4 linked regions of the Elephas maximus indicus genome follow. The protein of the gene in region 1 interacts with the protein of each later gene in a pairwise test. Links are inferred from orthologs where the notes say so. Each region holds a gene or a part of one and is shown in the gene's direction. Other genes may lie near its edges. The genes, in order: LZTS2, C3H1orf109, TNIP3 and RIN1.

Region 1 (7,211 bases):
AAGGAACTGCAAACAGCATCCATTTTTGGCTCAGCCAAAGTGAGTGGCCTTTGGAGGAGCCCAAGCTTTGGGGAGTAAAGCGGGCAGATGTGACCAGGGACAGCCCTCATTCAGGCTTAAATCATTTCCTTGGCTGTCCTTCTGGGGAGGCAGGAGGCAGCTGCCTCTGGGGCCATGACATGAAGAATATATATGCTAGGAATACATGGACTGATAATAGTTGGTCCTTTGCCCTCTTTGTCTTCCTTTAGTGAGGAAACAAGATAGTAATTACAACTCAGAATGATAAAAGCTGCAATTGGCAGCACAGGTATTTGGGGAGCAAAGAGAAAAGCTCTGAGTCAGCCTAGGACATCTGAGGAGACTTCCCAGAGGAGATGTCAACAAAGGTTGGGTTGAGTTTTGACAGAAAATAGGTTAGGTAAATAAATGGGAGGGACTTCAGGGCAGCAAGACCAACCAGATCCTGAAGCTTTCAGGTGTACAATGAGTGCTTATTACATGCCAAGTCTGGGCTGGGCACAGGGAATACAGGGTGAGGAGCACAAACTATGTGCCATCATGGAACAAGGAGCTGGGGAAGAGAATAATGTGGAAGTGGAAAGATGGTGCTTCCTTTATTTAGAGTGGTCAAGAATGGTCTCGCTGGTGAAGTGTGACTTTTAGACTGGGAATGATGAGAAGAAGCTAGGGTTGAATGGGATATCCAGCTGTGGAGAAGTGTTAGAAGCAGAGGGAGCAGCATACACAAAGTCTGAAGACAGCAGGAGCTTATTATCAAGGAAATGAAAGACTCAAGTGGCCCCAGCATCATGGTCAATAGTTGAAAGAGTTGTGGTGATGGGGGAGGTACTTTTCCCTTCTCCCATTCTTGCTACTTCTCCCCGTGCCCCCAGCCTTCCGTTCTGCTTCTCTTATATGTCTTCTCATGCCCGGCTTCCTCCTTCTGCCCCCCAACTCCCAGGCAAGCCAGGAAGCAGACAACGTTCTGATCCTACAGGACAGGAAACTGGTAACTGGGCCAGGGAAACGGTATTTGCAGGTCTCCAAGAACCGCTTTGATGGAGATGTAGGTGTCTTCCCGCTCGAGTTCAACAAGAGCTCCCTCACCTTCTCCGTCCCACCAAAGAGCAAGACTCGACTCAAAAAGATCAAGGACGACAATGGACTAGTGGCCAAAAAGTCCTCTTCTGGCAAAAAGGGGACTGTGCCTCAGAACTCTGAGATGTGCCTGGACCAGATCCCCAACCCCTAGCAGCCAGACACCTGCCAGCCTTCATGGTGAGGGCAGTGCAGAGCTGGACATTGAAATGAGCCTGACAGGACAGGTTGGGGCAAAGACTCCTGGCTTCTGACCACTGACTATGGTGCTGAGCTGTGGGCCCTTCTCAGTCTGAGGGGCCTAGGCTAGGTGGTGTTCCGTAATGAGAGAATTAGCAGGTATCTGAGAACCTACTCTGTACCAGGCTTTGTTCTGGGTCCTCAGGATAGAGCAATGAGCATGACAGATGTGGTCCCCACTTCCATGGGACCTGCATTCTGGTGGGGGAGATGAGGCAAGCAATGAACAAATAAGCAGAAAACATAATTTTAGATAGTCAAAAGCGCTAAAAACACAGCAGTAATGTGATAGTGCTTGCAGGCTAGTTTAAACGGTGGGAAAAGGCATTCTGAGCAGAGAAATTTGAGCGGGGGTCTAACGGACCAGAAGGAGCAAGCCACGTGAACATCAGAAGGAAGATGAGATCCCAGTAGCCCGAGTGTTAAGTACAGAGGCCCTGAGGTGGGAATGATCAAGTTTAAGACAGCGAGGTCATGCCTCTAAACCTGGAGGGGAATGAGGGGTTCCTTGTCAAAACTCCTGCCGAGGTTTTCAGATCCAAGGGGTGATATGGTGGGTGCCAGTTCCTCTGCTCCCTACTCTATGGAGCCTGTCACGAGAGGGCATTTGCTAGAATTGGCATCCTAGGTGCTTGGCCCTGGAATATCAGGGCCCCAAAATTGGGAATCACCTCCTCCTGGATTTCTTAGCAGCAGCCACAGAAGGAAGCTGTGAGCCCAGAGTGTGTGCCCCCTGGACATAGATTCCAGGGTTTGCTGCCTCAAGTAGGCAGTGTTTCTGGAGTAGATACAGCCATGAATTTTTACAGCCTTTTCCAGTTTTACTTAAAAAAAAAAAAAATCCCACTGCCTTTGTTTCTGTGCTTTTTTTAATTTGTCCACCAGGTGTCTCCAGTCTATAACTGGACTCTCCTTTCACTCTGGGGATGGATGGGTCCCTTCACCATTTCCAGCATTTGAGCTGAGGGTTCCCAAGGGAGCTAGGTCACCGAAGGGTGTTCATTCCCCCTACCCCCCTGCCTTGCACCACCACCACCGCCTCTTCTGGGTATCCTTATCCTTAACTTCCTTGAGCTCCATGTGATTCCTGACAGCGCTGTGGATCACTGGGCCACATGCCCAGGCCCTGCCTGACCAGCTGTCCCTCTGATGTGAGCCACTCAGTGGCCTCCCTCGATGTGGGCTCTGCTCAGCATATTCTCTCTTGATGTTTCCCTTGTGTTAGTGCATACCGTGACTCCTGGGGATCCTGTTAAAAATGCAGAACTTAGGCCCTGCTCCCCACCCCCATCCTGCCACACATACATTTCTAATTCTGGAGTTTGGGGAGGGGTACAGGAGTCCTCATTTTTAACAAGCCGTGCAGGAGGTTGTAAAGTAGGCAATCCACAGACCCTGTCAGAACTAGTGTACCTAAATGATGACACTTTCCCACCTCATTTCCCCGGCTATCCTAAAGTTCCAGCTTCCCTTTAGATTTGCCTATTCGTTTTTGAAACAGTGGTGAGAACATAAGGTGTTCTGAAGATGCTGGGAGAAGCCCTTTGTAAGGGTAGGGTGAAAGCTTTCCTGCTCCCTGGAAGCAGGGCTGCCTTGTCAAGTTCTCCCTGTCGACCTAAGGGGGTGCTTCTGGGACCCTGTGGAAGGGTATGGGGTCTGGTCTGCAGAGCATGGGAACAGTGACCACAAATGTCTCCTGGGAAGACCTGGAGCAAAGCTGCTCCAAAGCTGTTCTCTGTGGGACAGAATATGGAAAAGGGTAGCTCCTCCAGGGCCTCCTTTCTTTGAGGGGGTGGGGGGGTGTCTGTCTCCCAGACTGGCTGGAGCCAGGCCTCCCTAATCCCGCAGTAATCATTCCCAGCCGCTGGCTGGTCTAGGCCTCATCCAGGATCTATAACATTGGATGTCAGCCATGCCTTCCAGACTCAGAACACCAGGTCAGTCCTGCCTATGAGGACGTGGGCTTGACATTCTGGTCTCTTAGAAGCCGGATTTGTTCTCAGGAAATCCTCAGAGGTTCCCTCCTGGGAACCTCTGAGGTTTTTGTGGGAATTGGGGATACAGGGATGGATACATACTTGCCTGTTTGTCTTGCCTCACCCTCCTAGCAGACACCCCCACGCAGCAGAAACCAGAATGATGAGGGGGAGGGGAAGATAAATACTGCTAGCCCCACCCCCTACCCAAACATCTTCCACTCCACACCTGCCTTAAACTCCCCATATCAAGATATGGCCCTAAGTAGATACAGGAGCTCCTGGAGTGTAGAAAGCAGTGGAGACCCCCGGGCCCTATTTAAGGTCCCTGGAGGCCCGCTGTCCACGTACCCAGCCAAAGTGGACATTACCTGGGATAGAACCAGCTCTGCCTCCCTCCAGCTAGATGTAAGAATCTCCCTGAGAGCTCAGAGAGAACCTGGTCAAGTGAGGTCCTGTCCTCAGATTGACACTGTGCCTCATACTTGATGAGAGGAAGGGTCTCCAGGGTGAGGGGGCAGCTTTGGCCTTCCAGCAGCTTCCCGACTACTGTGGATGGGTTTGAGAAAATAGGAAACTCACTGGAGTCTCCTACAGCTCAAGTACTCAGGCTGCAAATATGGCCCAGATACCTGCAGACACAGGCTGCTTTGGGTGCCATGGGGGGAGGAAGTCCTGGGTGCCTCCCTGCAATACAGGCCAACTTCCTGTTTGTGCATGTGGGTGGGACTTTATGAGTCTAAGGGAAGCTTGGCCATGCCCCATGGGAGCCAGAACTGGCAGGCCTCCTCACCTGGGCTGACACCTACTCCAGTCAAGAGGGTGGCGCTGGTTCTGCTTGGGCAGCCCCAAGATGAAGTGGGGGGAGGGCTGTTTTGGTGAAACCCGAGACTTCTTTGTCTGTTCCCCAGGGATTTTCCCTGTTTGGGAAGTGGGCTGGGAGTGGACCAGATTGGGCTCCCTATGGAGCAGGGAAGGTGGCCCCGTCAAGCCCTATAGCCAGCTTAGTTAGGCGGCCAGTAGCTTAGCTCTCGGTCACGTGCTGCTCGCCCCTTCCCTAGGTTGAAAGCCAAGTTCAGGAAGCTGGTGAAGTCAGAGGCCAGAGGAGCAGCCTCGGGCCACTGTCCAGCTTCTGCTGGGTACTGGGTTGGCTCTTGAGGGGGTGCCGGGCAGACCACTCCCCTCCCTGGGTCGGGGGCGCGGCCTCAGCCGCCCCGCCCCGCTTCACCAGGCCGGGCCAGGCGGGCTCCCGGAGCCCTGAGCGGGCTTGGAAGCCGGCAGATCTGCCGCGCAGAGGTTCCCCCGCTGGAGCAGGCACCGGACTGGAGCTGGAGCGCGGTGCAGGTGGTGCTGGGTGAGTGGCGGGACTGCGGAGGTGTAGGAACTCCCGCCTCCAGCACATTCCTGCTCCGGAGCGAACTTTCCCCGTCCCGGAAAGCTGAGGGCTGGGGTGAAGAGGGAGGTCCCCACTCCATGGGGGACAGGCAAGGAACTCTGCACAAGGAGGCGAGACAGAAACTTGCACTGAGGGGCTCACACGCGTGCTACAGAGACACGCACGCACGTGGGACACGAACACACGTGCATTCAGAAAAGGAGGTGCCCAGTGGGTTACCCTTGCAGTCTCAGGGACAGCGCCACCGGCCCGCGAGGACCCCCCCCCCCGGGCAGGGCACTCTCCTGTCGCGTACTTGGTAGGGGCGGGGGAGAGGGGCAGCCCGGTGAGCGCCGACGGGGGCGGACCGGGTGGGACGCATCGGGAGGTTCCAGCTTCCCCACCGCAGCCAGGTGAAGACTGAGACGTAAACAGGCGCCGAGCACGTGATTGTGCCATAGCCTTGTGGCTGTACTCCCCCGACTCCTGCCACTTGCAGGGACCCCCTCCCCAGGCCCGGGCGAGCTTACACGGTTCCACAATGGGCAGTATTCCATTCTACGCCTCGACCTTCGAGCGGTGATAAGCCCTCCCCCAGAAATGGGAGCACAACGCCCCCTAGAGCCGGGGTGGCACCGAATTGGAGACTGTTGGGCGGGGGTGGGATTAACTGGGCTCCTCGCCCTTCCTCCCCTGAACATATTCGTAGTGTTCCCATCCCTGAAGGTATGAGGGGGTACTCTCCTTGGTAGCAATGGACAGCTGCCCCCTACCGCCCGGTACTCCCATCCCAGGGAGCAGCTGCTTGAGTGTCTGTGGATCCCCTTCCTACCACCCCATCCCCTCTGACAAGACTGGGAGTTCCTCCCCCGAATGGAGGAACAGAAATCCCACCCATGCAAGAGTGGAAGCCCCCCCACCCCCGCCAGAGAGCGCATGAGTATAAACAGCCCTTCATACCGACTGGGCCTACCCCCTCTAGCAGAAAGGAGTCCAAGCTCTCCCCGAGGGTGGTGGGCAGCGGTCCTCTGTCTCCCTCTCCGCCCCCACGCCGCCCCCCTACACACATGCTGAGCCCAGCTGCTGCTTGAGCTTCTGGGCAGACTGCCGGGAAGGGGTGGAGGCACTTGGTGTCCCTGGAGGCTGGGATCAGGAAAAGGCCAGACAAGGGGGTCTCTTCTGGGGAGGGGGCCTCAGGCTGTTCTTGTGAGGCAAAGGGTCTGGGATGAGCCTGAGGGTAGCTGGGCTGTGATTCCCTTTCCAGGGAAAAAGAAAAACAACCCTTTCCATAGAGCTAAAAATAGAGCTGAGAGCCGGCCAGGGCTGTGGCCTGGAAGGGGGGATGCTCTTTCCTGGGGCGGAGCCGAGCTCTGGCAGGCCTTGGCCCTGGGGGACAGGGAGGCCGTCCTTGCCCAGGGGTGCCAGCATCAGCTGACCTGACCAGGTCATAGAGACCCTTGAGGGAAAATCTGTGTGGAGGAATATGTTTGTAAAACATAATGTGTATGTGTAAAAAGTTGTCTGTGAGCAACTGTGAATAAGACTGTCAATGTCTGAAAGATCGTTAGGAGACTAAGTGTATTTATTTAAGATTTTGACTGGATGTGAAAGACTGCAAAACAAGGCGTGTGACAGTGTGCATCTGCGTGAATTGGCCTCAAAGATATGAGAAGAAGGAACATGGGACCATGCGATGGATGAGACCGTGTGAGATTGTGGATGTGTGAGACTGAATGTGGGGAAGACCGTGTAGGTGTTAAGAAGACTGTTTGTTTGCGAGAGGCTGAGGATTTTTGTGACCCTGGGAAAGGGAGTAGAATGTTGTTTGCCGTGAGGCTGGTGTAGGTTTGGACTGTAGGTTTGGACCGGTTCACCCCAGTGATTGTTGGGGGGCCAGGGGCCGCCTCTGTCCAAGCGTCTTTGCAAAGAGTTCCGAAGGAAGCTTGAGGAGAATGGAGCCGTGCCAGGGACAGACCTAGGCTCGCGAGGAGTGGGGAGTGGGATAGGGACTCCCATGAAGGGAAGGGAGGGAATGTGTGGCTGGGTGTCTTCTCCAAACTGGACGCCAGGTGGCGCCGCCTCCGCAAATCCAAGTGTGCCGCCGGCGACCCACTGCGGGTGGGGCAGGCACCGGCCGAGCCTCGCCCCCAGACTTGTGCTGGGGTGCAGGACCCCGGCAGACCGGGAAGGGGGCATCTGACCCTAGGCCTCCCCGTATGGACTCTAAAGCTGGAGAGTGTGTCTTGGGGAGAGGCTCCGACTAGCGAAGCGGAGGGGGAGGGGCAGCCGCCGCCGCGCCGGGCCCTTTGTGCTCAAACAATGACCAGCTGCCGCCGGGCCCGGGGCCCTGGTTGAGGGGGAGAGGGTGACCCGCTGCCGCCGAGTCCTGAGCCCCCGAGCCCACAGACACTAGTCCTCGGTGGGAGAGAGCCTGGCTCCCGCCGTGCAGGTCCCGCGTGCGCCGGACACGCGTGACGTGAAGGTTCTTGCGCGTGTCCGCGCCCGGGGGCGGGGCCGCC
Region 2 (7,946 bases), on another chromosome or scaffold:
ATTTGTGGTCGTAGTTGATCTGTTTTCACTGCTGTGTAATATTCCACAGTGTGGCTATATCCCAACGGATTTTTCCATCCTCCTGTCAATAGTTTTTTGCTATTACAAACACTGCTACCTTGAACCATTTTGTACATGTCTCTGATGCACATGTCCAAGTTCTCTCTGGACTGTATATGTAGGGATAGGGCATTATAGGGTTGCAGGGCATGCAAACATTCAGCCTTGATATTATGCCAAATTGTTTTCTAAAGTGGTTGCACTTATTTACATACTGTTGGCAACCAATACAAGTTTCTAATGATCCGCATCCTCTCCAGCACTTGGTCCTGTGTCAGACTTCATGTTCTTTATGAGTCGAGAGGTCTCCATAACGGTTCTATCACACTCCTGGGTCCTTCAAAGGGCTTTCAGTGGCCATTCTAACTAAACTTGTTCACAGTGGTGGCTACCACCTCTATGTATGGGTATTGCCAGAAGCAGACATCAGAACAGGTGTTAGACTAGGAATGACACAGGTTTTCATCTCTGGCGTGGCAGGGACTACATGCACAGCTCTGAGGATTCTGAGGCCATGTGGGCTTAGCAAGAAACAGTGCTGTAATAGATTGTGATAGTTAAGGGAAGCCATGTGGGCTTAGCAAGAAACAGTGCTGTAATAGATTGTGATTGTTAAGGGAAGCGAGAGAGGTGGTATCCCTGCCAAATTTCTGCTGTCTCTATAAACAACTGACATGCAATGAAGGTATCACTGGTGGCAGGCCACCAATCACTCACAGTGCCTAAATGAGTGAACACAGCAGACCTGAGACCACTATGCTTAGAAAGGTCTGCTTGCAAAGATGGCCCTTGGCTGGCATCTGGGAACTTGAATTTTGGGAGGGTTCTCAACATTCCCTAATGATAACGGGTCATTGTACCCAAACTCTTTGTACAGACAACATGGCTTATCCTGAGCACCTGCTTTCCTTCTAGGAGTCTAGAATTTTGGTACACGCTAGCCAGAGGGTGCCTATGTGACCAGTCCTTGATAAAAACCCTGGTCGTTAAGTCTCTAAAGAGATTCCCTGGTAGAAAGCATTTCACATGTGTTGCTACAACTTGTTATTAGAGAAACTAAATGTGTCCTGTGTGACTCCACTGGGAGAGGACTCTAGAAAGCTTGCACCTGATTTCCTCTAGACTCTGCCACATGTACCTTTTCCCTTTGCTGATTTTACTTTGTGTCATTTCGCTGTAACAGATCATAGCCCTAAGTATGACTATATGCTGAGCCCTGTAAATCCCAATAAATCACCAGACCTGAGGGTAGTCTTGGGACTCCTGACACACCTACCAATTAAGAGCTTCCATACCCAAGTCTCATCCTTCCCCTGGGTTTTAAGACTAGACTTCTCTCAACCTGGTGTAATAACATTGGCTATATTATATCAGAAGCTCTGATTTGTAGTTTTGTGTCACGACATGAGCAGATCATGTTCCCTATGGAACCTCTTCCACAGTAACCACTCACTGGTTGGATTCTGTGACTGGACTAAAGAACTAACCAACAGTTCAAAAACAGGACAGATCACTTACTGTTGCTGCCTCTTCCAGGGCCTGCTTGTTTCCTCCAAGGGCTTTAAAAAGAACATGTTATTTAGTTATTACAGATTTTGACAATAACTCATCTTCCCTACACTATCAGTTATCTGTCTAAAACTGGACCAGATTAAACCCTTGGTCCAACATTCCAGGGCCTTCACAATCTAGTCTTTCTCCAGCCTTGACTCTTACGCATGACCTACTCTATGTTCCACCACACCAAACTTCTCACCTTTCCCCAGATGTGCCCCCGCCTTTCAGGACTAAGTGCCCTAATACTTATTATCTCTGCCTGGAATACTTCTCTGCATTCAATAAACTCCTAATTCATCCTTCAAAACTCTTCTCAAAAGCCACCTCCTCAACAATGGGCCCTGCTATGTATCAAGCATTCCACTCACCACGTCTCAACCCTCACAACCCTTACTCTACAGATAGGGAAACCAAGACCAGAGAGATTAACATGATTGAGTAACTTGAGGAAGATCACACAGCTGGAATATGAAAGAGCTAGAATTTGAACTCAGGTTTGCCTTGACCCCCAAACTGTTTATTTTTCCCTCACAGTAGGTTGCTGCAAAGTACTGAGTTAGTTACTCACCCTCTTCCTACCCTACAACTACTCAGAGCTGTTTAAGTGTCCACCCTTGCCTTCGCTGTGAATTCCTTGAGAATAACAATAATATCCATAGCTTCTGGCAAAAATCTGGCATCTGGTAGTTGGGTAGTAAGTGTTTGTTGAATGAAGAGGTCTTTGAAAGATTCAGATGTAGAATTAAAGTTAGGTGAGGTTCTCACGCTAGAAACTCTCACAGTATTCTGTATAACAGCCAGGAACTGTGGCTTTGGAAACAGAATTTTATCTGGGTTCAAATAGACTTTGCCACTAATTAGCTTATGAGACCTTGAGCAAAGTAACTACCTTCTCTGTGCCTTAATCTTGTCATCTATAAAATAGAGATAATATTGACAATAAGCTTGTTATGGGGATAAAATTAATTAACATATGTAAAGCATACAAAGCACTACATAAATGAGCTTACTGGTGGCTACTCTGCTCTTATAGCACTTATAACTAAGTATAAAATCATGTGTAAAGTTTTTAATCACCCTTCTACACTAACCTGTAAGTTCCTGAGGCACAATGTCTGAATTTGTCAATGCATCTTCAGCACCTAGCATTGTGACTGACAAATGATCAATGAACACTTGTAGAAACGAGCAAATGAATGAATGAATAAATAAAAGGGCAACTTTGAAAAGATTATTCAATGTCTGCTATTGTAACAGAGGAATCCTTGGGTAGTGCAAACAGTTAATGTGCTTGGCTGCTAACCAAAAGGTTGGAAGTTTGAGTTCACCCAAAGGTGCCTTGGAAGAAAGGCCTGGTGATCTAATTCCAAAAAAAACAACAACAACAACTGAAAACTCTACAAAGCACAGTTCTACTCTGACACCTGTGGGGTTACCATGAGTCAGTACTGACTTGATGGCAACTGGCTACTGTAAACAGAACATGCCTTTCTATCCAGGAAGGAGGCTATAGCCTGGGTAACTAATAAAAGAAAGTGGAAAAGTTGGTTAATGCAGCAGAAAGGGTGCCTACCTGCATTTCCTTGAATCTTTAACAAGGTGGCGGGAGAACAGACTAGGATTTTTCTTTCTCTGGCCAGGAAAACTCTTGTATCTTTACACATCACAATTTGATTTGCCCATTTTCAAACAGGCAATTTTTATAAGCTGCAGAAAAAACTCCCTAGGGCTCACCCTTCCATCTGAGCTCTGGTAACAAACCAAGCTGTTCATGCATTCATTTAATAAAGTTTACTGAGTACTTAGTACCTATCAGATACCTTTCTGGCTACAGATAAATTTCCTGCCCTGTCATTGTGCAGCTTACAATCTTGGTTGTGGATAAAAGGATATGTAATCAACAAAATAGGTAAAATATGTATTAGATTAGATCCGGAATCAGCAAACTGTTCCCACCTGCTTTGGTATGGTCTGTGAGCTCAGAACGTTTTTTTTACATTTTTAAGCAGTTGGAAATAGTACCAAAGGAGTATTTCGTGACATGTGAAGTTCAAGTTTTGTGTCCATAAATGAAGTTTTACTGGAATACAGCCATGCCCATTTGTTATAGCTGTTTTGGAGCTATAAGAGCAGAGTTGAGTAGTTATAAGAGAAACCCTCTGACCCGTAAAACCTAAAATATTTACTACCTAGGCCTTTATAGACAAAGTTAGCCTACCCAGCATTACCCAGAAAAAAACCCCAGCATCAGATGATGATAAATGCTATGGAAGAGGATAAACCAAGGAGAGGAGATGGAAGTGGGGCGGCAATTTTCAACAGTGGTCATGGAAGACCTCACTAAAAAGGTGACATCTGAGCAGGTTCCTTCTGAAGGCAGTGTGCAGTCTGTACCACCGAGGGGTCCCAGACCGAGGCCTGCGGGAAACTCTAGCAGCACCTACCGAAGTAGTCGAGCCAGTTCATCTCGCGCAGTGCCTTGGGGAGCCGCAGGATCTCGATGTTGTACAGGTTATCCATCTCCTTGAGGAGGTTCTGCCTGTCTGACTGAATTTGCTTGTATCGGATTTGCACTGTGAAAAGGCAGAGCCGACAGGACGCGGGTCACCCGGCGGATGCATGAGGCTTAGAATCCGTGCTCTCTGCGTCTCAACCCGCCGGGACCCAGCGATGGTTCCAGGTAGGTGCCACGACCCGGGCCCCGCCCCTTACCTTCACGGTCGAAGTCCTTGAGAAAGGAGGCGAGCTTCCGGCTCCGCAACGAATTGGTCTTAGTCGACCGACTGCTGCCCTTCCTAGCCGGAGCCATGGTGCTTCGGTGGAGGCTGTGGGGACGGGGGAGACCGAATGACAAAGGGTCAGGGAGGAAGGGAAACTAAGGAAACCGCAAAGGAATAGGGGAAGGTGGACAAGGACCCAGAAGGGCCAGTAGGGAACTCCCCTCCTTCAGGGTCTGGGCATAAAGAAGGCGCGAGTCACATACCTGCAGGTCCCAAAACAAGAGCGAGGAAAAACCTCTCCGCTCCACCAGCGAGGAAATCTGCTCTGGGGCTAACCGGACATGCGACCGCCGCCACCAAATTCAAACTTAACTGCTCCAGGCTGGCGAATGAGAAGTCGCCGTCTTAAAAAGGTCCCACAACATCCAATCATTAGGAAGCACTACAATCAAGCAGCCAGTCCACACGTAGAACTACAACACCCAGAAGTCATTGCGGCTGAATGACGTATTTCCTCAGCGCAGGGGCCGCCTTGGCCTGAGGTTGCGCTTTACGAGCGGGTGGGCGGGGTGGGGACGAGGAATCGCTTTTGGGCATGCGCACAGAGATCCGCGTGTCATCGATGTTTCGTTGCGGTGACGGTAAATTTGACCTCTGATTTAGGGAAAGCGGTGAGCAGCCTCAAGAAGCAGAGACAGGATTCCGGCTCCAGTAGCACGAGTCTGGAGAGCGAGACAGAGCCTCGGCCCCGGGAATCCGCAGTCTGAAATAGGAGACCGCCCTATCCCTGGAGAAACCTCCTCTGAGGAACAGTCGGAAACGCTTCCTGAGGTGGGCCACAGGGGGCTTCCTTCAGAGAGCCGCTTCCGGAGGTAAGACGACACCTCGCGACAGGAACTCCTGCCTGAAGGAATGGACAGCCTTACCTGAGGAAGCGGGCTTGAGGGCGGAGGCTGAGAACGTGTCCTGACACGAGGACGGACGTAACTCCCGACCGACCTGGGACCTAACGCTGCTTCTGTTGGTTTGCACAGACGATGACTCAGGACCGGCCTTTGCTTGCGGTGCGGGAGGCCCTGCGGCAGTGCTTCCCCGCGGTGGAGGAGCAGCAGGGCCTGTGGCGGAGCACGCTGAGCGACTGCCAGCCCCTCGTGGCCTCCCTCAGCAACCTGGCCGAGCAGCTGCAGGCGGCCCGGAACGTGCGGTTTGACGACGTGCCGCCACTTCGCGCCTTCCCAGACCTAGAGGAGCAGCTGAGGCGCAAGCAGCTGGCTGCCGGTGACACCGTCCTGGACAAGCTAGGGGAGAGGCTGTAAGGAGCTCGGTAGATTTTAAAACTGGGTGTTTCATAAGAGATGAATCTGTTAGAAGGATGACTCTGTCAGAAGGGTGTTTTTCTCTTGCGAGCACGGCACTTGGAGGTGTCTCAGCCTTCCCCCCTTTCCCTCTGTTGCAGTGGGACCTCTGTCAAAAAGCCATTTTCTGATATTTCTCGGCAGAGGCTAGGCCTGACAGTGGTGAGCTTAGTAGAGGTACAAAATCTGAACAGAAAAAGAGCGGAGGAAGCTTGTTAGCACTTTGTATTTTCCTTTCTTTCTTTTTTTATTCGGTAAAAAGCTTGTTGTGTGCCATCGAGTTGATTTTGCCTCCTAGTGAGCCCATGTGACAGAGTAGGACTGCCCCATAGGGTTTTCTAGGCTGTAATCTTTATAGGAGCAGATCACCAGAAGCAGATCACCAGGTCTTATCACCAGGTCTTTCTCCTGTAGAGCTGCTGGGTGGATTTGAACTGCCAGCTTTCGATTAGCAAATGAGCGATACCTGTTGCACCACCAGGGCTTCTTATGGGAAAAAGCTACAAAGAGCTGTATTCTAAACTTAGTAGGTGTCAGAGCTAAGGGTTTTACATACATTACCTCATAAAACCTTTTTAACACCTCTGTGGCTTAACCTCAGTCAATCCCATTTGGTAAGTGCAGAAACTGAGGCTCAAGCAAATTGCCCATAGTCACAACTAGTAAACGGAAAAGCTGGGATTCTAATCCCAGTCTGCCTGACCCCAAGGCCAGAGCCTTCAGCCACCACTTTGTTCTGCTATGCACTGGTCTCTCTGTGCCCAGGAGTAGCATGTCTCCAAGTTCTGATCTATGCTAATTGTTAGACCTTCTGTCTCAGAGTTACAGACTGTTGAGGACAGGAGAAACAAGGCACATGTGGCCATTCCTTGAAGGTTCCAGTGTACAGAGTTTATGCCGTGGACTAATAGGAAACCATCAAATTGGGGACCATCATTTGTTCAAAGTACACATATCGAGCACCTATGGGATGCCAGGCATAAGGTGCTGGGAACATATCAATGAACCAGACTCAATTCTAGTTTCTAGGAGTTCTCAGCCCAGTAGAACAGATAGACAATCAGTCGATTAAATTATGGTATGTCCTAAGATAGTGGGGAAACCCTGGTGGTGTAGTGGTTAAGTACTACGGCTGCTAACCAAAGGGTTGGCGGTTCAAATCCACCAGGAGCTCCTTGGAAACTCTATGGGGCAGTTCTGCAGGGTCGCTATGAGTCAGTATCAACTCGATGGCACTGGGTTTTGTTTGGGTTTAAGATAGTGGTAAGTACTGGGAGTTACAGAAGCATAGAGGTACATGTTTAACCCAAACTGTGAGGAGAGGAGGAGCTTCTGGGAGGAAGTGATGCCCGAGACCTGAAGGATGAGTGGGTGTTAATGGATCAGGACGTGGATATGGGTATTGTTGCAAAGACAATGGCTGGCATAGAAGGGGCGGTAAGAGATGAGAGGTAAACCAGCTCATGAAGGTATGTGTAAGCTGTCGAGGACCATATGGTTCTAGATATTTCTTTTGCTTCTGGATTGAGGGTACTTTGATGAGGGGTAAGGGCAGAAATCCCCAGGAACCTCTTGCTTGGTCATAGACACATCTCTATATGGGTCAGCTCCTTAATCAGTAGTAGCTGTTAAAGAGCTCCCTGGGAATCAGAATTATTCGTAATAGCCAAAAAGTAAAAACAACCCCCAAAATGTTCATCAGCTGATAAATGGATAAACAAAATGTGATATACCCATATAATGGAATATTATTCAGCAAATAAAAAGAAACAAAATGCTGATACTTGCTACGATACGTATGAACCTTTAAAACGATATGCTAAGGGAACGAAGCCAGACACAAAAGGCCACATTATTGTATGATTCCATTTTTGTGAAATGTTCGGAATAGGCAAATCCATTGAGACAGACAGTAGATCAGTGATTGCTAAGGGTTGGACGAAGGAGTAGTGGAGAGTGACTTCTAATGGGTATGGGGTTTCTTTTTGGGGTGATGAAAATGTTCTAAGATAGAGGCGATGTGTGCACAACTCTGAATATACTAAAAACCATAGAAATTTACATTTTAAAAGGGTAAATCTTATGGTATGTGAATTTTATTTCAATTCTTTTTATTTTGTTGTTGAGAATATACACAGTAAAACATATACCACTTAAACCATTTCTACATGTACAATTCAGTGACATTAATTACATTCTTTGAATTGTACAACCATCCTCACCCTCCTTTTCTGAGTTATTCCTCCCCATTATT
Region 3 (6,949 bases), on another chromosome or scaffold:
ATGTATGCAAATGATTCAAGGTTGGTCTTAGAGCACTTGGTCAAAATGCCTAATTTCGACATTCATGCTCTTTGGGTGGTAATTCCTGAAAGACAGAAATGATCAAAGGCACATTTAATGTTGAAAACAGGTATGGGTCCTGAATTTGGATGAGAAAATATCTTCATGTGTATTGAAAACAGGAAGGAATACAGTGCGTTAAGGGTAAAAGTCAAAGGGGTTGAGTGTCAAAGAATTCTCCTGTGACTTCTCTAACCTGTCAGCACCTGGGATTGCCTTTTAAAGATTGCCAGATCTTTTGGGCCTGGTTTGCCGTGATAACTGGAATTAGGTCCCAAACAGCTGTATTTCTGATTTATCTACATCAGTGATTCATCCTCCCCAGAAAGGAGATCTATGCCCCATCTCCTGTCCTAATTGTTTGCCTGACATATCCTCCTTTTGGCAGAATTTTGCTGAACAAAAATTCATTCCAGTCCTTATTTGAAAAAGCAGAGATCTGATATTTTAATACTTTATGTGCTGTTTAGCTCTTTGTTATCCACACTAGAGTTAAAAAAAAAAAAAAAAGCACACACAATAATGGGGAGAGAGTAAAAAGGAAGTCAGCAAAAATGCACAGAACAACTGAGTTCCTTAAAATGATAGTTCTATTGACAAAAAAGGAATGGAGAAATAAATCAAAAATCTAACCATCATGAGCATAACTATTTCCAAAGTCTTATGAAGAGGTGTTCTTTTCACAAAACAATGACAAATGGCCTCTTTTCTATGTCTATTTTCATCCAATTATCAAATAATGAAACCAACTAAATATTACTCCTTGTCATTATGGGGATTTTGGATCTGACAGCAAAAAAATGGCATTATATGTTATGAAGTAGAAAACCCAAACTTAACACGAAGGCTTATTCCTAATTAATGGGGCTAGGAAGCAGGGAGCACAAGCCTGCAATGCTAACTAACCTTTTAGGTTGAATCCGGTCCAGCTGAGGCTCCTGGCACAACCACCTCCATCCGTTAAATATTACAGGTGATGTTCTGAAGCAATGGGAATAGACTCTCCAGTTTGAATCTCTCATCAAAAAACAAGGACCAGAGTTTGGCAGGAGGCCAGGGCCTCCCTCTGGAAGGACTCCGGAGGGCCATCAAATGTCCCTAATCTACAGAAAGCTCTCACCCAACAGGCAAAATCAAATTTGAATAACTCCTGAGGAAATGGCTCTCAAATGGGACAAACATTGCCAAATGAACTTTACTACACTTCTTCGAAAAACCTTATGGGGTAAAGCCTTTGAGAGTAAATTCTTCAACTGTACTAATGGTATTTACTGTCCCTACTCACCCTCCATTTCTTATCCATGATTTGGAATCTGGGATGTTGGGAAGCTGAGAGGGAAAGGAGCCTGAGGGAGGGAGCAGAGGGTGCCTGGACTAGTTCCCAAACACAAGCATGTGGAAGCACTTTGCCTGTCTTCCTGAGGACGCCCGCGGACAGCCTGCGCACCAGGCTCACGCTGAGGTCCGGGGGAGCCTTAGTACTGAGTGATGCGTTCAGCTCATCTTTGGCGACAGGTTGGGTTTGCCCTTTCCCAAGCCCAAAGCTTGAAAACTGCCTCACTTAGACTCTTTAATATTCTTCTTGCTGGATAAAGGAAGAAAACTGGAACATGACTGTTTTCTTCTTCTCAAACTCAACTCTAAATGAGCTTGTTTTACTCGAACAGTCTCATTTTCTCCCCCCCACCCCTTTTTTTCCCCCGTTCCCTCAGGCACTTGTACCCTCAAGCCATGTGAAACTAATTTTGGATCAATCACTTCAGGCACTAGTCTTCAAGTTTTATTAAATTTTCTTGAACTCATTTCCTTATTTTTTCCCTGAAGGTAAATCACTAAAACAAAATGCTCTTTTGTGAATAATAAAAATCGTTTGGTAGGCAGATGGCCAGCTTCTGCACGCAGTTGATCTTAAGTGGCTTGAGTGTATACAAGGAGCAGTACAGCGCTTTATGAACCATTTCTGCATTTGCTGTACCATACCATTCTGTAGAAGAGCTTGTTTCCATTTCACAGATAGGATGGTGGAAGGTAGCAACAACAAGTTCTGGCCTGTGTTTTATAGACCCCTTCCCACCATCCCACTATCACCACCAACACGTCCAGGAGGAAAATAAAAATGATGTCTTGTTTCATTTTCCATTGACTAGCCTCACCATGCCATGGTTTTTAATGGAAATAACCTTCCTGCTTGAATCATTGAACTCTGGAAGCCTGTGTTGGTGCTTTCTCGGTATCCTTTACGATATATGATCATCAAAGAGGCACACGGCCTGAGACCAGATGGTCCTTAGACACACTGTGGTAGTCCTTCAAGGTTTTAATAATCATGCCATGAACTTATAGAGCACTCTGTAATTTCGAAAATACTTTCAGAAAAGGTAGGCATTAATTAAATCTAGAAATTCCAGTCTGTTAGAATGGCTTAGCTTTTAACCTTTTTGCTGTTGGTATGTTGATGAATTTCTCCTTGCTCTTTGGGTATCACACTAAAATGGCATACTTTTGTGAAACACTCATTAATTAGTTTTCTTACAGAGAGTAAATGTCATTTTGTGTTAATTCAGAGGACTTTTTAAAAGACATTCAGAATACTTTAGGAGTTCTTAAAACAAGGACATTTACATATCAAAGGTGTTTAATCACTAAGGTTAACAAGAGATTGACTCCTTCCCAGGTCCTGTTTAGGTTTTCTTTTTTTTGTCATTCTCTCTAGAGTGATTGCGCGTGCAAGCTACATGGTATTACGGACTGCATTTCTTTTGAAAATACAGAAAAGTGTAGAGAAAAATGTAACAAACAGTCATGAGCTCACCACCCCAGGTTAATATTGATAACATTTTGTCATAAAAATGATAACATTCAGTTCCCTTTGTGGTTCATTGACTTTCTCAACCGTGTTTATAGATCTGCCGATCTATTTTTCTGAAGTAACAATATCTCTTGCGATGAGGCTGAAGCACCTCATACAGTCCAACTCTAGCACATTCTGTCTCCCAAGCATATTGCCAACATGCTATCGGCCATTTACTTAATCTCTCCAGGCCGCACCGAAAAATGAATACTTCAATAGAAGCCAATGAGACAGAGAGCCAAGAACTATCAGAGTGCTTGTCAGCCAACATTTCATTCCCAAGCTGGTACAAAGTTCTTTATGACTTTGGAGAGGTTGGCCACTGTAAATGATTACACAGAACTGTTTTCTAGTGTGATGAGAAAAAGATACATAATTCATAATCCTGTAATGTCAGTGACACAACATAAAGACTATAAATATAATTTCCCCTCTAAGTAAGAAAAAACACTCAGCAACTTCTGTTTTTAAAAGGTAGTGGGCATATTTCTAAATTACTTTAAAGGTTGACTGCTTAAATGTTAACCTGGGTGCTAGGGCTCTCAGGGAAAGAAATAGGAAGATGAAACAGAGGAACATTCCTAGAAATGAGTGTGTGACCTATGGTCCTTACAGTAAATTATACTAATTCTACATTTATGTTTATGTGTTGTGGCCCTATTAAGCTGATAGAACTTTTCCATTAAGTGGGCAGGTGGATTTCCTGTAGTACCCCCGGTTGCCTGAAGAGGTATATTGTTTTCTTGTGTTTCCATTACAGCATAAAGACGAAGAGGGAATCCTCTGTGGTATTTTTCACATAGATGGTGAATCTTTTATCTGGAGGTTGTATTTGTATCCGAGAAATGAATATTAATAGCCTCTTGGCAGCAGAATGACTTTCTTAAAAAAGGGGTTTCCCTGTGTATGGGTGGATTAACCTTTCAAAATATATGTTTCTACTTAAACCACTGAGTTACTGTTTGATTCAAAGAGTCATAAAGACGACCTCTCCGTGTCTTCATTAGGCCTTGTAGTACACTCACCTAGATCTGAGAGGGACTTTCAGTATAGAGTATGGTGAGTAACACGGTGCCTCCTGCCTTTACTTTCATTTTGCTTACTTAACAAAAGTTCTCTGTAACTTAATTTCTTTTTAAAAGGCCTAAAGCGCTCGTATTAAAATGGCCTTTGTGACTGGTTTTGAGTTTGGTAATGTTAGCAATTCAGATATGGCTTCATGGGTTCCAGGTGGGAGATAGATAGGACGTGTTGCAAGTGTGTTTTCCTTTCAAATGTGTATAGCTTTTACCAGTTCGCCCTTTTGTCCAGTTCAGATAAAATAAGCCTTGGAAATGTCGCAGTTAACTATATAAATGTGATCCTATTTACCTTGTTATTTCTGGAAATTCTGTAAAGAATAACGAAGTTTAAGCTCTTCTATGAGTAATGTTACTATGTTTGCTCTCTTAGTATACTACGGAGGTTAATCTTGATTAAGCAGTGATTACGACAAGTGTCCAGACAGTGTGTTTGCTGTACTCTTCATTGCTGTATTCTATAATCAGGGTGATGAGAAGCATAGAAAATTCTAAAAGAATGTATTTCTAAATAGAAAGTCACTGGGCTGCTTATTCAAATAGTAAAAATTTCCAAAGGAGATTGGAAAATAAACTTGCTTAAGTATAATTTAAGTGTAACCAATCAAATTGTCTTCCGAGAAGGTTTACTTTGAAAAACCAGCGTTGAACAAAGGTAGACCTATGCCTCTGGGCATAGAGACAATGTTTCATTAATCTTGCAGCATGAAGTTTCTGGCTTAGTCACAAACTTTCCTGCTGTGAAATGCTGAGATACTTAATTCTTGGGAATCTCTGGTACCGCCCTGTTGTAGAAGTTCTGAGAGTACTCATTTAAATGACATGGCATCTACTGACCTGTCCCTCCAGTGTAAGGACTGCACAGAGCTTTAATCCTATGGGTAATAAGCAAGTATTTGTGGAAGGGATCAATGCTAATGTTAACAAACTATTTTCAGACATGTCCCCCTGAGTTTTTTCAGGAAATTTTTTAAAAATCAGAATTATAATGTATTTTTGAAGTACTATAGTCCAGGAAATTAGGGAAAGAGGAGAAAGATAACCTCTTGTATTTTTATCTTTTTCTTTCCTTTTTATTCTCTCTCTCACTCTCATTCTGTATTGCTCTCTCCCCCCTCAGCTTGCTCCTGCTTTCTCACTCCACAATGTATTTATTTTCATTAGTATATCACTGGTTTTCTATTGAACTTTTTCATTGAAATTTGCATCCACTATATTATTTCCCAGTTTTCATGAGATAAATGAGGCATTAATAAGGGAAAAATAATAAGTGAGTGTTAAATTCAATTCCTCCTCTTAAAGGAACCTGAAACATACCAGTGCCAAAGGAACCTGTGGAATGATATAGTTAACAATCCCAGATGCTTGATCAATGATCTAATTCTGTACCCTGACTCCTTGAAAACTCCCTTCTTCTCTGGTGTTAGGCTTCTTTATGGAGAAGAATGGAGGAGGAGGTGAGGAATGGTGAGAGGGGCAAAGCTGCTTATTAAGCTTTTTGTCAATAAAATACTTCCTGCTTAGGATAAAACCACAGACATCTCTTTGACAGTTAACTTCTAAAAATTGCTCTTTAGCACTTTACGCTTTAGCTCATTAATTATTAATTCCTAAACATTGCTTTCTCATTAATATTAGATAAAGGAGAATTTTTAGAGGAATATCTTTCAGTCACAATTGTCCTCCCATCTGTTTGGAGTGGTGACAGTTTGGATCTTTCAAATATTTGCTTCATGAAGGATGAAGGACTATGAATAAAAGAAATGCCCTTTACTCACATGGTGGCCTCATGTCTTGAAGAAGATTGTTGTTGTTGTTAGGTGCTGTCAAGTCAGTTCCAGCTCATAGTGACCCTGTGTACAACAGGACGAGACACTGTCTGGTCCGATACCATCCTCACAGTCGTTGCTATGTTTGAGCCCATTGTTGTAGCCGTTGTGTCAACCCAACTCGTTGAGGGTCTTCCTCTGTTTTGCTGACCTTCTGCTTTACCAAGGATAATGTCCTTCTCTAGGGAATGGTCCTGCCTGATACCATGTACAAAGTACTTGAGACAAAGTCTCACCATCCTCGCTTCTAAGGAGCATTCTCACTGTACGTCTTCCAAGACAGATTTATTCATTCTTTTGGCAGTCCATGTTATATTTAATATTTTTCACCAACCCTATATTTCAAAGGCATCAATTCTTCTTCAGTCTTCCTTATTCACTGTCCACCTTTCACATACAGATAAGGCAACTGGAAATACTATGGCTTGGGTCAGGCACACCTTGGTCTTCAAAATGACATCTTTGCTTTAAAGAGTTCTTTTGCAGCAGATTTGCCCAATGCAATACTTCATTTGATTTCTCGACTGCTGCTTTCATGGCTTTTGATTGTGAATCCAAGTACAATGAAATCCTTGACAACTTCAATCTTTTCTCCATTTATCATGATATTGCTTATTAATAGTAGTCCATTTGTGGGGATTTTTATTTTCTTTATGTTGTGGTGTAATCCATACTGAAGGCTATGGTCTCTGATCTTCATCAGTGAGTGCTTCAAGCCCTCTTTGCTTCCAGCAAGCAAGGCCTTTAAGAAGGAGACTAGGATAAAAATGTTTTTCTACTGAAATTCCCGTAACATGAGATAAAAATCAATTTTATTTGAAAGCACTGCCAAGATTAATTATCCCCATGGTTTTAAAATAAAAACAACGTATGGGCGAAAGTTATTCTAGTGGTTGAAAAGCACAATCCCAACAAATATATACCTTGATTGATCTAAAAATGTAAAAAAAAAAAAACCTTATATGACAGAGAAACAGCCCCAGCAGGACAGTTAATAGATTACTGTGGTAAGTAATGAAAATTAATCATTTTATGCTGTTGCTAATCTGACGTGTATAAATTCTGTGAGAGGAAAGGACATATTCTGTAACATAGTGTTAAGCAGCATAAAATAGCTTTGAAGGGAAGTG
Region 4 (7,315 bases), on another chromosome or scaffold:
CCAGTGCCCAGCACTCCTCTGCACGTAGCTGCCCTGACTGCACATGGGTGCAGTCATTGGCCCTGCTCCTTGAGGTCGCCAAGAGGACTGACTGAGAGCAGGCATGGAAGGGCCCAGCCCAGGGCCAGGCATGCAGTGAGGGGTTGGGCAGAGTGGGCCCCATGCCCTCCTGTCCCTGCTCTCTCCCCAGAACGGGAGGTGCGGGCCGGTACGCCCACATATGGTCACCACAGTCCGCTCCGTGTCCACAGCACCTATGTTCCTTCTTCATGTCAGTTGCTCTGCCAAGAGGCTACTGTGGAGTCCTCAGGAGGCAGCAGCTGTTATCATCACCCTGTCATCCCCCCCATCACCCTCCCCCATCTGCTGAACAAAGGAAGCACCTGGGGCTCACAGCAGTGCAGTGCCCTTTCCCATGGTGCACAGCTGTGCAGTCCGGACCTGAACTCAGGCTTCCCAGCTCAGCCCAGAGTTCTTTGCCCCAGGGGAGGGGAGGACAAAGGCAGTGAGGGTGGGGGGCACCCTTGAGGGCTGGCACCCTGACCCTGCCTCTGGGGCACAGAGTGGTGGGATGAGAAACTGCACGCCAGAGGCAGCTCCAGGACCTGGGACTCCCTGCCACCCAGCAAGAGGAAGAAGGCACCGCTTGTCTCCGGTATCCTTCCAGCCACGGGGGCCTGAAGCTGGGGGGGGCAGCCAGGGCCAGCTCCAGACCCGGGGACACGGAGGACAGAGGACCAACACGTTCATGGTCGTTTGGTGTCATGTGATCATGTCCAGGCAAACTCAGCTGTCAGAGATTTATTGTGGCGTCCCAGGTCTCCCGGGGAAACCGTGGTGGGGAAGTGGTTAAGAGCTGTGGCTGCTAACCAAAAGGTTGGCAGTTTGAATCCACCGGGCGCTCTTTGGAAACCCTGTGGGGCAGTTCTACTCTGTCGTATACGGTCGCTATGAGTCAGAATTGAGTTTGGATTTTGGGGTCTCCTGGGCCCTGTGGACTGTAGAGAAAGAGAAACGTCAGTCTTGACTCCCCAGGACTTCCTGAGTGAGTTTGGCCTTTGGTCCCCGTCTGGGTTTCCCACGATGTCTCCCCAGCCACTCACTCATCCCCAAGCTGGGCCCAGGCTTCCCCACCACTGTGCCTTTCCCAGGGTTCCACCCCCTCTTTCTAGCTTTCTCCACCTTCTCATTGCTCATCTCATGTGTTGCCTCCTCCATGAAGCCTCTCCTGTTCTACTCTAGTGGCCATGGCTTTTCTCTCTGCACACCTGTGGCCTCCCTTCTGGGGTGACCACATCCCATATGGTAGAATTGGGCTCTGCCATGAGCCCCTCTAGTCCAGGGCTGGCCGAGTCACCACCCTGGGGATCCCCTTGGTATGTCCCAGCCCCCGAGTTGAATTCCCAGGTTCCACCAGGGCATTCCTGGAAGAACCAGCTCCTCAGGTCACCTTGTGGCGGAGCTGAGGTGCAGGCAGGTAGGAATTGAGTGAGTGGAGGTGAGGGCATGGAGACATCAGTGCAGAGTGCAGGAGGGAGAGTGGATGGTCCTGGGTGGGGGGGGGGCAGAGGATACTTGTCTTCAGGATGGAAGAGGCCGGAGTCTGTTTTGAGATGGGGGAGAGGGCCAGGAGAGGGAACAGGTAATGAAGGCGGGAGCGGGGAGGAGAAGGAGCAAGTCCTGGAGGTGGGGGTGCACCTGGGACAGCAGATCTCGCCTGAGGAGAGGAGGAGAGAGTGAGCCATGGGGCTGCAGGGGTGGGCTGCCCCCTCCCTGTCCTTGGTGAAGTAGGAATGAGCTGCCTTGCTGCCAGCCAGCCAGGCGCTCTCGTAGGGGTGGAGCCTGAGCTCTAACCCAGATTCTCAACCCCTGACCCCACACTGTCCCTGCACCCCCTCCCTGGCCGTTGGGTCGGTCTTGAACTCAGTGGGCTTGGCCTGCCGCATGTCACCTGCCCCTGCCCTGGGCGTCCTGCTTCCTTGACACGGGTGCAGGCCCATACATCGTGTACATGCTTCAGGAGATCGACATCCTGGAGGACTGGACAGCAATCAAAAAGGTGGGCCCTGGGCTGCCCCTTCCCCACCCCAGCTTCCCTACATTCCTGTGGGATATGGGCTGCCTTAGAAGGGAGCACTGTTAGTATGCCGGCCCCTTCCTTGCCCAGGTTTCGATGCAGTTGGGAAGGGAGGGAGGGAGAGGGAAGGTTGGAAGGCAGCAGAGCTGGCTGTCTCTGACAACAGACCCCATCAGAACTTGGCTTACAAAGGTCTTTTGCTGCCGCCTCCACCCTCCTCCACCTGCCTCAGTGCAGCCCCCATCCCCAAATGGGCTGATGTCGGGTGGTGGTTAGGGGGGGCATCTTGCCAGGCTGGGGGCAGACTTTCAGGAAGGCTTTTCTTCTCACCTACCCAGGCTAGAGCAGCTGTGTCCCCTCAGAAGAGAAAATCAGATGGTAAGACCCTCAGATCCTCAGACTGCCTCCCACCCCATCCCCACTGTCACCTCCCTCAGTTCAGCATCCAGGAAAGAGGCCAGAGAGAGGCACGGTCATGTCACAGTCTGAGGCCACGAGAACCACCTAGGCTTTGGAGGTTCTGTGGGAGTTTTGTTAGCAGGAAACAAGGTGGGCGGTGGGGAACTCTGGGTTGATGGAGCTAAGGAATGCTAGAGATTGGAGAGTGCACCCAGCTGGGGCTGGTGGTGGCGGTGGGCAGGGGGGTGCAGCAGCCCTGGTGGGCCTGGAGTACTGGGATGAGAGCTGTGGTGAGGTGACCTGCATGTGGAGGGGCACCCCTCTTCTCACCTCAGTGTTTTTCCCCTTTCTGTGCACCGTCCAGGACCCTGACCTTGCTGTTCCCAGCCAACGGGTCCCTCGGAGCGGCTGGCACCAAACCCAAGACTCACGTTTTCCTGCTGCAGAAAGGTGGACCGACAGGCCCCTCAGATCTGCCTGGCGGCCCGTGGGCTCTACAGGGCTGTGGCCGGGCTCCCCATCCAGCACCACCTGCCTCAGTTCTTTCTCTGCCCTCCACCGGGGTGGCCACCACTGTGGGCCTGGGGCTGACCTGCACAGACCAGACTCTCTCTCTCTCCCTAGCCAGCCCGCCGCCCCCTCCCAAAGACCACCCTCCTCCGTCCTCCCCAACAAAGAAAACATGCCTCATTTAAGCCAAACGGCATCTTCCTGCTGACCTTGGGCCCTGATCAACAGCCCTGAGCTGGGCTCCACTGCCTAGGGATTCAGAGCCATAAATTATATTTGAGGGGCTCTGTCCTGGCAGGAGGTGGAGATGAGAAGCCAGGCTCCCCAGGTTTTCTCAGGGTGTCTCTTCGTGTCTGCCCCCCAGATGGTGGGGACTGGAATTAAACCTTTCCTGGGATTCTGGTGTGGCCTGTGTGTGTCTAATTTACCTGGGGGGAATTGGGGCTTCTGTGGGAGCACCTGAGACAGGCAGACTCTCTTGGTGGCCCTGGGGTATGACACCACCTCTCCCTGGCCCACGGGAGCCCGCCACTCCGACCTGGGGTACAGCCTGGGGACGGGGTGCTCTTCCATACACCGCCCCCCTGGAGGTGGGGGCTGGGCCCTGGGCTACTGGTGCTGCCGGGAGTCTGAGCAACGTGTGGCCGCACAGGCAGAGCATGTGACCTCGGGTGGGGAAGGGGGCAGGGTGCTCTGTGCTTGGAGATGGTCATGTCTGCACCTGCCCCAGTCGCTTGGCAGATTGGCAGGACCTGTGCGGGGGAGGCAGCCGGCAGCAGCGCCATGTGCTGACGACCTCACAGCCAGACTCCCCCCTGTTTAGCGCCGAGTGCTAGAACCACCCCCAGAACCTCAGTTAAGCAAAGGGGCTAGTTGCCATGGAGACACAGCATCCTTTCTCCATGGCAACCTGAAATTCCAAAGCCCAGGTTAGATTCAGACGTGAGTCATGTTACCAGTAGGGGGCACTCTGCCACTAGTCTGACCTCAAGGCCAGGGAAAGATGAGCAACTGACCACAGACTTAAAGGTTCCTCAAGGGCTGTCTGGGGCCCGTAGGGACCTAGACGCGCCTCTTAACCCCTTCCCGCCCAAGTGTGTAGTTTGAGGGAGCCAGCGAGGCTTCGGGAATCTCTGTGAGGAGGTGGCACCCCCACTGCTGGGGCCCTCAGAGTGGCAGTAGCACGGAGGGGGTCCCAGCCCCCTGAGGGTGGGCCCAGAACAGAGGAGGCGGCACGGCCCTGACAGAGTGGACACACAAGAGTTAACGGGCGGGGTGTGCCAGGGCGCACCGCCTTCAGGAAGTGTTACTCACCACCGGGAATGTGAGTGCCTGTGCCTTGGGGGCTGGCTTCCCTTCCTGCGTCCCGGCGGGTGCAGCCGGCTGAGCGCCCAGCCATGGAAGCCCCTGGGGAGCCGGGAGCAGACCCCCTCGGAGCCCCCAGCCCAGCCGGCCGAGCTCCTGCGCACCTGGAGGGAGAAAAGTTAGTGAAGTTGGCAGGGCCGCAGGTGGGTGGAGGGAGGGTGAGGAAGGTCAGCCCAGGCCGAGGGCGGGAGGGTGCAGGCTGGGCGAGCGTCCCACCGCCCGCCCGGCTCAGTGTGCCCGCCCCCAGGCCAGGCCCGGACCCGCTCTACGACGTCCCCGCCGCCAGTGGAGGACAGACGGGCGGACCGCCGAGGCCCGGACGCACAGTGAGCCTTCGGGAGCGCCTGCTGCTCACCCGGCCAGTGTGGCTGCAGCTGCGGGCCAACGCCGCGGCCGCCCTGCACGTGCTGAGGACCGAGCCCCCGGGGGTGAGCGCTGCCCCGCCCCCTGAGGCTGTCCAGCCGAGGGTTGCGGGGGACCGAGCTGGAGGTCCTGTGCTGTCAACTCCTGTCCCCCGCAGACGTTTCTCGTGCGGAAGTCCAACACGCGCCAGTGCCAAGCCCTGTGTGTACGGCTGCCTGAGGCCAGCGGCCCGTCCTTCGTTTCTAGCCACTACATCCTGGAGCGCCCCGGGGGTGAGACGGCTGGCAGGCGGGAAGGGGCTGGGAGCAGCCGGTGGGGCGGTTTCCCGGAGAACACCTCCCTCACTTCCCATCTCTCAGGCGTCTCCTTGGAGGGCTCAGAGCTCGTGTTCCCAGACCTGGTCCATCTCATCTGCGCCTACTGCCATGCCCGGTGAGTCTGCCCACAGGTGCCTGGTGTCGGAGGAGCTCTGCAGGTCTGCCCCTGTAGACACCAGAACCCTTCACTCCTGACTTTCTGCTCCCCTCTCCGGCCCCAGGGACATCCTTCTCTTCCCGCTCCAGCTCCCCAGAGCCATCCACCAGGCAGCCACCCACAAGGAGCTGGAGGCCATTTCCCATCTGGGCATTGGTAAGGGCGCCTCTGCCAGCTATCGCACTTACGGACACACTGAAGCGGTGCGGTCCTCTCCCACGGTTGGGTCTTGACTTGGAGTCTCTTCCGCAGAGTTCTGGAGCTCCACCCTCAATACCAAAGCTCAACAGGGCTTCGGGGACGGCCCGGTGCTACCCCGGCTGAAGCCCCGGTCCCCTCAAGAGCTGGACCAGGGCACTGGCGCTGCCCTGTGCTTCTTCAACCCCCTATTCCCAGGGGACCTGGGCCCCACCAAGCGGGAGAAATTCAAAATGAGCTTCAAAGTGCGCGTGTCCACAGAGACCTCCAGCCCCCTGTCTCCACCAGCTGTACCACCTCCCCCAGTCCCGGTGCTGCCAGGGGCCGCCCCCAGCCAACCAGACAGGCTGCCCCCATGCCAGCTGCTTCGGAGGGAGAGTTCAGTGGGCTACCGTGTGCCGGGGGGCACCGGCCCCAGCCTCCCTCCGCTGCCCTCCCTCCAGGAGGTGGACTGCGGCTCCCCCAGCAGCTCGGAGGAGGAGGCACCGCCGGGGGCCCACGGGAGCCCAGCGACCTCCCCCAGCCTGGGTCGCCGGCGGCCCCTGCTCCGCTCCATGAGTGCTGCCTTCTGCTCGCTGCTGGCGCCCGAGCGACAGGTGGGCCGGGTGGCCACGTCGCTGATGCGGGACCGCCACACAGCAGTGGGCCAGCTGGTGCAAGACCTGCTGACGCAGGTGCGGGCTGGGCCGGAGCCCCGGGAGCTGCAGGGCGTCCGAGAGGCACTGAGCCGGGCCCGGGCCATGCTGAGCGCCGAGCTGGGTCCCGAGAAGCTGCTGCCGCTCGAGAGGCTGGGTGAGGCCCCACTAGAAAGCCCAGTCTCACCCCAGCTCTCCAGAATCCCAGTTCTCCCCTCCTTCGGCTCTCCTCCCCACTATTTCCTCCTGCCTCCTGGTTCTGGTCTCTGCCATACGTGTCCACTTTGCCTTTCCACCGTTCTAGCGAATTCCATCCCCACCTCTCCCCCACTCTCCAGGCTCACCAAGATTCCTCCTCCTTTCCATCCCTCTCCCTCCCTGGTTCTGCCCTTCTCCCCGGATGCTGCCCCATCCTGGTCCTGACTCCCTGACCCCTGGCGTGTCTTCTCTGCAGAGCACGTGCTGGAGAAGTCACTGCACCGCTCCGTGCTCAAGCCTCTTCGGCCCATCTTGGCCGCCCGCCTGCGGCGCAGGCTCTCTGCCGACGGCTCCCTGGGCCGCCTGGCCGAGGGCCTCCGCCTGGCCCGGGCCCAGGGCCCCAGTGCCTTTGGGACCTGCCTGGGCCTACCCTCCCCCGTAGAGGTGGAGCAGGTACGCCAGAAGTTGTTGCAGCTGCTCCGCGCCTACTCACCCAGCGCCCAGGTCAAGCGGCTTCTGCAGGCCTGCAAGCTGCTCTACACGGCCCTGAGGACCCACACGGGTGCGCCCCTTCCTCCTGCCTCACAGATGGGGAAGCTGAGGCCCAGGGAGTAGAGCACCCTCTCCCCAGCCCCTCCACGTTGTAACCATAGGGATCACCCTGAGCTTATAGCAGATGGGGGAGTGTCACTTCTAAGGCTAGCAATGGGCCCTGACTCTGGGACCCCAGAGGAGCCTGAAGCCACCCCCCACCATGTTCCCAAAGGGGAGGACACAGGTGCTGACGAGTTCCTGCCACTGCTGAGCCTGGTCCTGGCCCAATGTGACCTTCCGGACCTGCTGCTTGAGGCCGAGTACATGTCAGAGCTGCTGGAGCCCACCCTGCTCACTGGAGAGGGTAAGGGACTCCTTACCCCCACCCGCCCTCTCCCTTCCCAACACAGGACCTCCCTGTCTGGGTGGGGCCTGAACCTTGGCTTCTACCTGGGCCAGTTAAGCAGGGAAGGAGGAGAAACAGTAGGTTACCCACCCCTAGACTGAGCCACCCTCTTTCCCTTGTGTCCCAGGTGGCTACTACCTGACCAGCCTCTCGGCC

Evidence for each region.
Region 2: the proteins of LZTS2 (region 1) and C3H1orf109 interact in binary tests that used the Homo sapiens proteins (3 or more experiments, as listed by UniProt). The two-hybrid records come from large-scale screens. The link is inferred for Elephas maximus indicus from reciprocal best matches to the Homo sapiens genes LZTS2 and AIRIM.
Region 3: the proteins of LZTS2 (region 1) and TNIP3 interact in binary tests that used the Homo sapiens proteins (3 or more experiments, as listed by UniProt). The two-hybrid records come from large-scale screens. The link is inferred for Elephas maximus indicus from reciprocal best matches to the Homo sapiens genes LZTS2 and TNIP3.
Region 4: the proteins of LZTS2 (region 1) and RIN1 interact in binary tests that used the Homo sapiens proteins (3 or more experiments, as listed by UniProt). The two-hybrid records come from large-scale screens. The link is inferred for Elephas maximus indicus from reciprocal best matches to the Homo sapiens genes LZTS2 and RIN1.

What each region holds. Positions count from the first base shown.
Region 1 is NC_064834.1:52,643,635-52,650,845, forward strand, and holds the start of LZTS2 (leucine zipper putative tumor suppressor 2), read left to right. Parts: upstream 1-4,196; 5' UTR 4,197-4,671; intron 4,672-7,211. Other genes in the region: TWNK (twinkle mtDNA helicase), read left to right, coding at 1-39, 965-1,255. UniProt on the Homo sapiens protein: Negative regulator of katanin-mediated microtubule severing and release from the centrosome. Required for central spindle formation and the completion of cytokinesis.
Region 2 is NC_064821.1:79,284,636-79,292,581, reverse strand, and holds the start of C3H1orf109 (ribosome biogenesis protein C1orf109 homolog), read left to right. Parts: upstream 1-4,943; 5' UTR 4,944-5,209; exon of another isoform or gene 5,210-5,371; 5' UTR 5,372-5,374; coding exon 5,375-5,649; intron 5,650-7,946. Other genes in the region: CDCA8 (borealin), read right to left, coding at 1,579-1,619, 4,062-4,190, 4,330-4,426. UniProt on the Homo sapiens protein: Part of the 55LCC heterohexameric ATPase complex which is chromatin-associated and promotes replisome proteostasis to maintain replication fork progression and genome stability.
Region 3 is NC_064823.1:26,174,124-26,181,072, forward strand, and holds the start of TNIP3 (TNFAIP3-interacting protein 3), read left to right. Parts: upstream 1-3,942; 5' UTR 3,943-3,967; coding exon 3,968-3,970; intron 3,971-6,949. UniProt on the Homo sapiens protein: Binds to zinc finger protein TNFAIP3 and inhibits NF-kappa-B activation induced by tumor necrosis factor, Toll-like receptor 4 (TLR4), interleukin-1 and 12-O-tetradecanoylphorbol-13-acetate.
Region 4 is NC_064825.1:129,480,489-129,487,803, reverse strand, and holds the start of RIN1 (ras and Rab interactor 1), read left to right. Parts: upstream 1-4,301; 5' UTR 4,302-4,383; coding exon 4,384-4,469; intron 4,470-4,598; coding exon 4,599-4,779; intron 4,780-4,871; coding exon 4,872-4,986; intron 4,987-5,073; coding exon 5,074-5,146; intron 5,147-5,252; coding exon 5,253-5,344; intron 5,345-5,440; coding exon 5,441-6,178; intron 6,179-6,475; coding exon 6,476-6,781; intron 6,782-6,985; coding exon 6,986-7,117; intron 7,118-7,286; coding exon 7,287-7,315. Other genes in the region: BRMS1 (breast cancer metastasis-suppressor 1), read left to right, coding at 563-655, 1,995-2,059, 2,416-2,455, 2,841-2,848. UniProt on the Homo sapiens protein: Ras effector protein, which may serve as an inhibitory modulator of neuronal plasticity in aversive memory formation. Can affect Ras signaling at different levels. First, by competing with RAF1 protein for binding to activated Ras.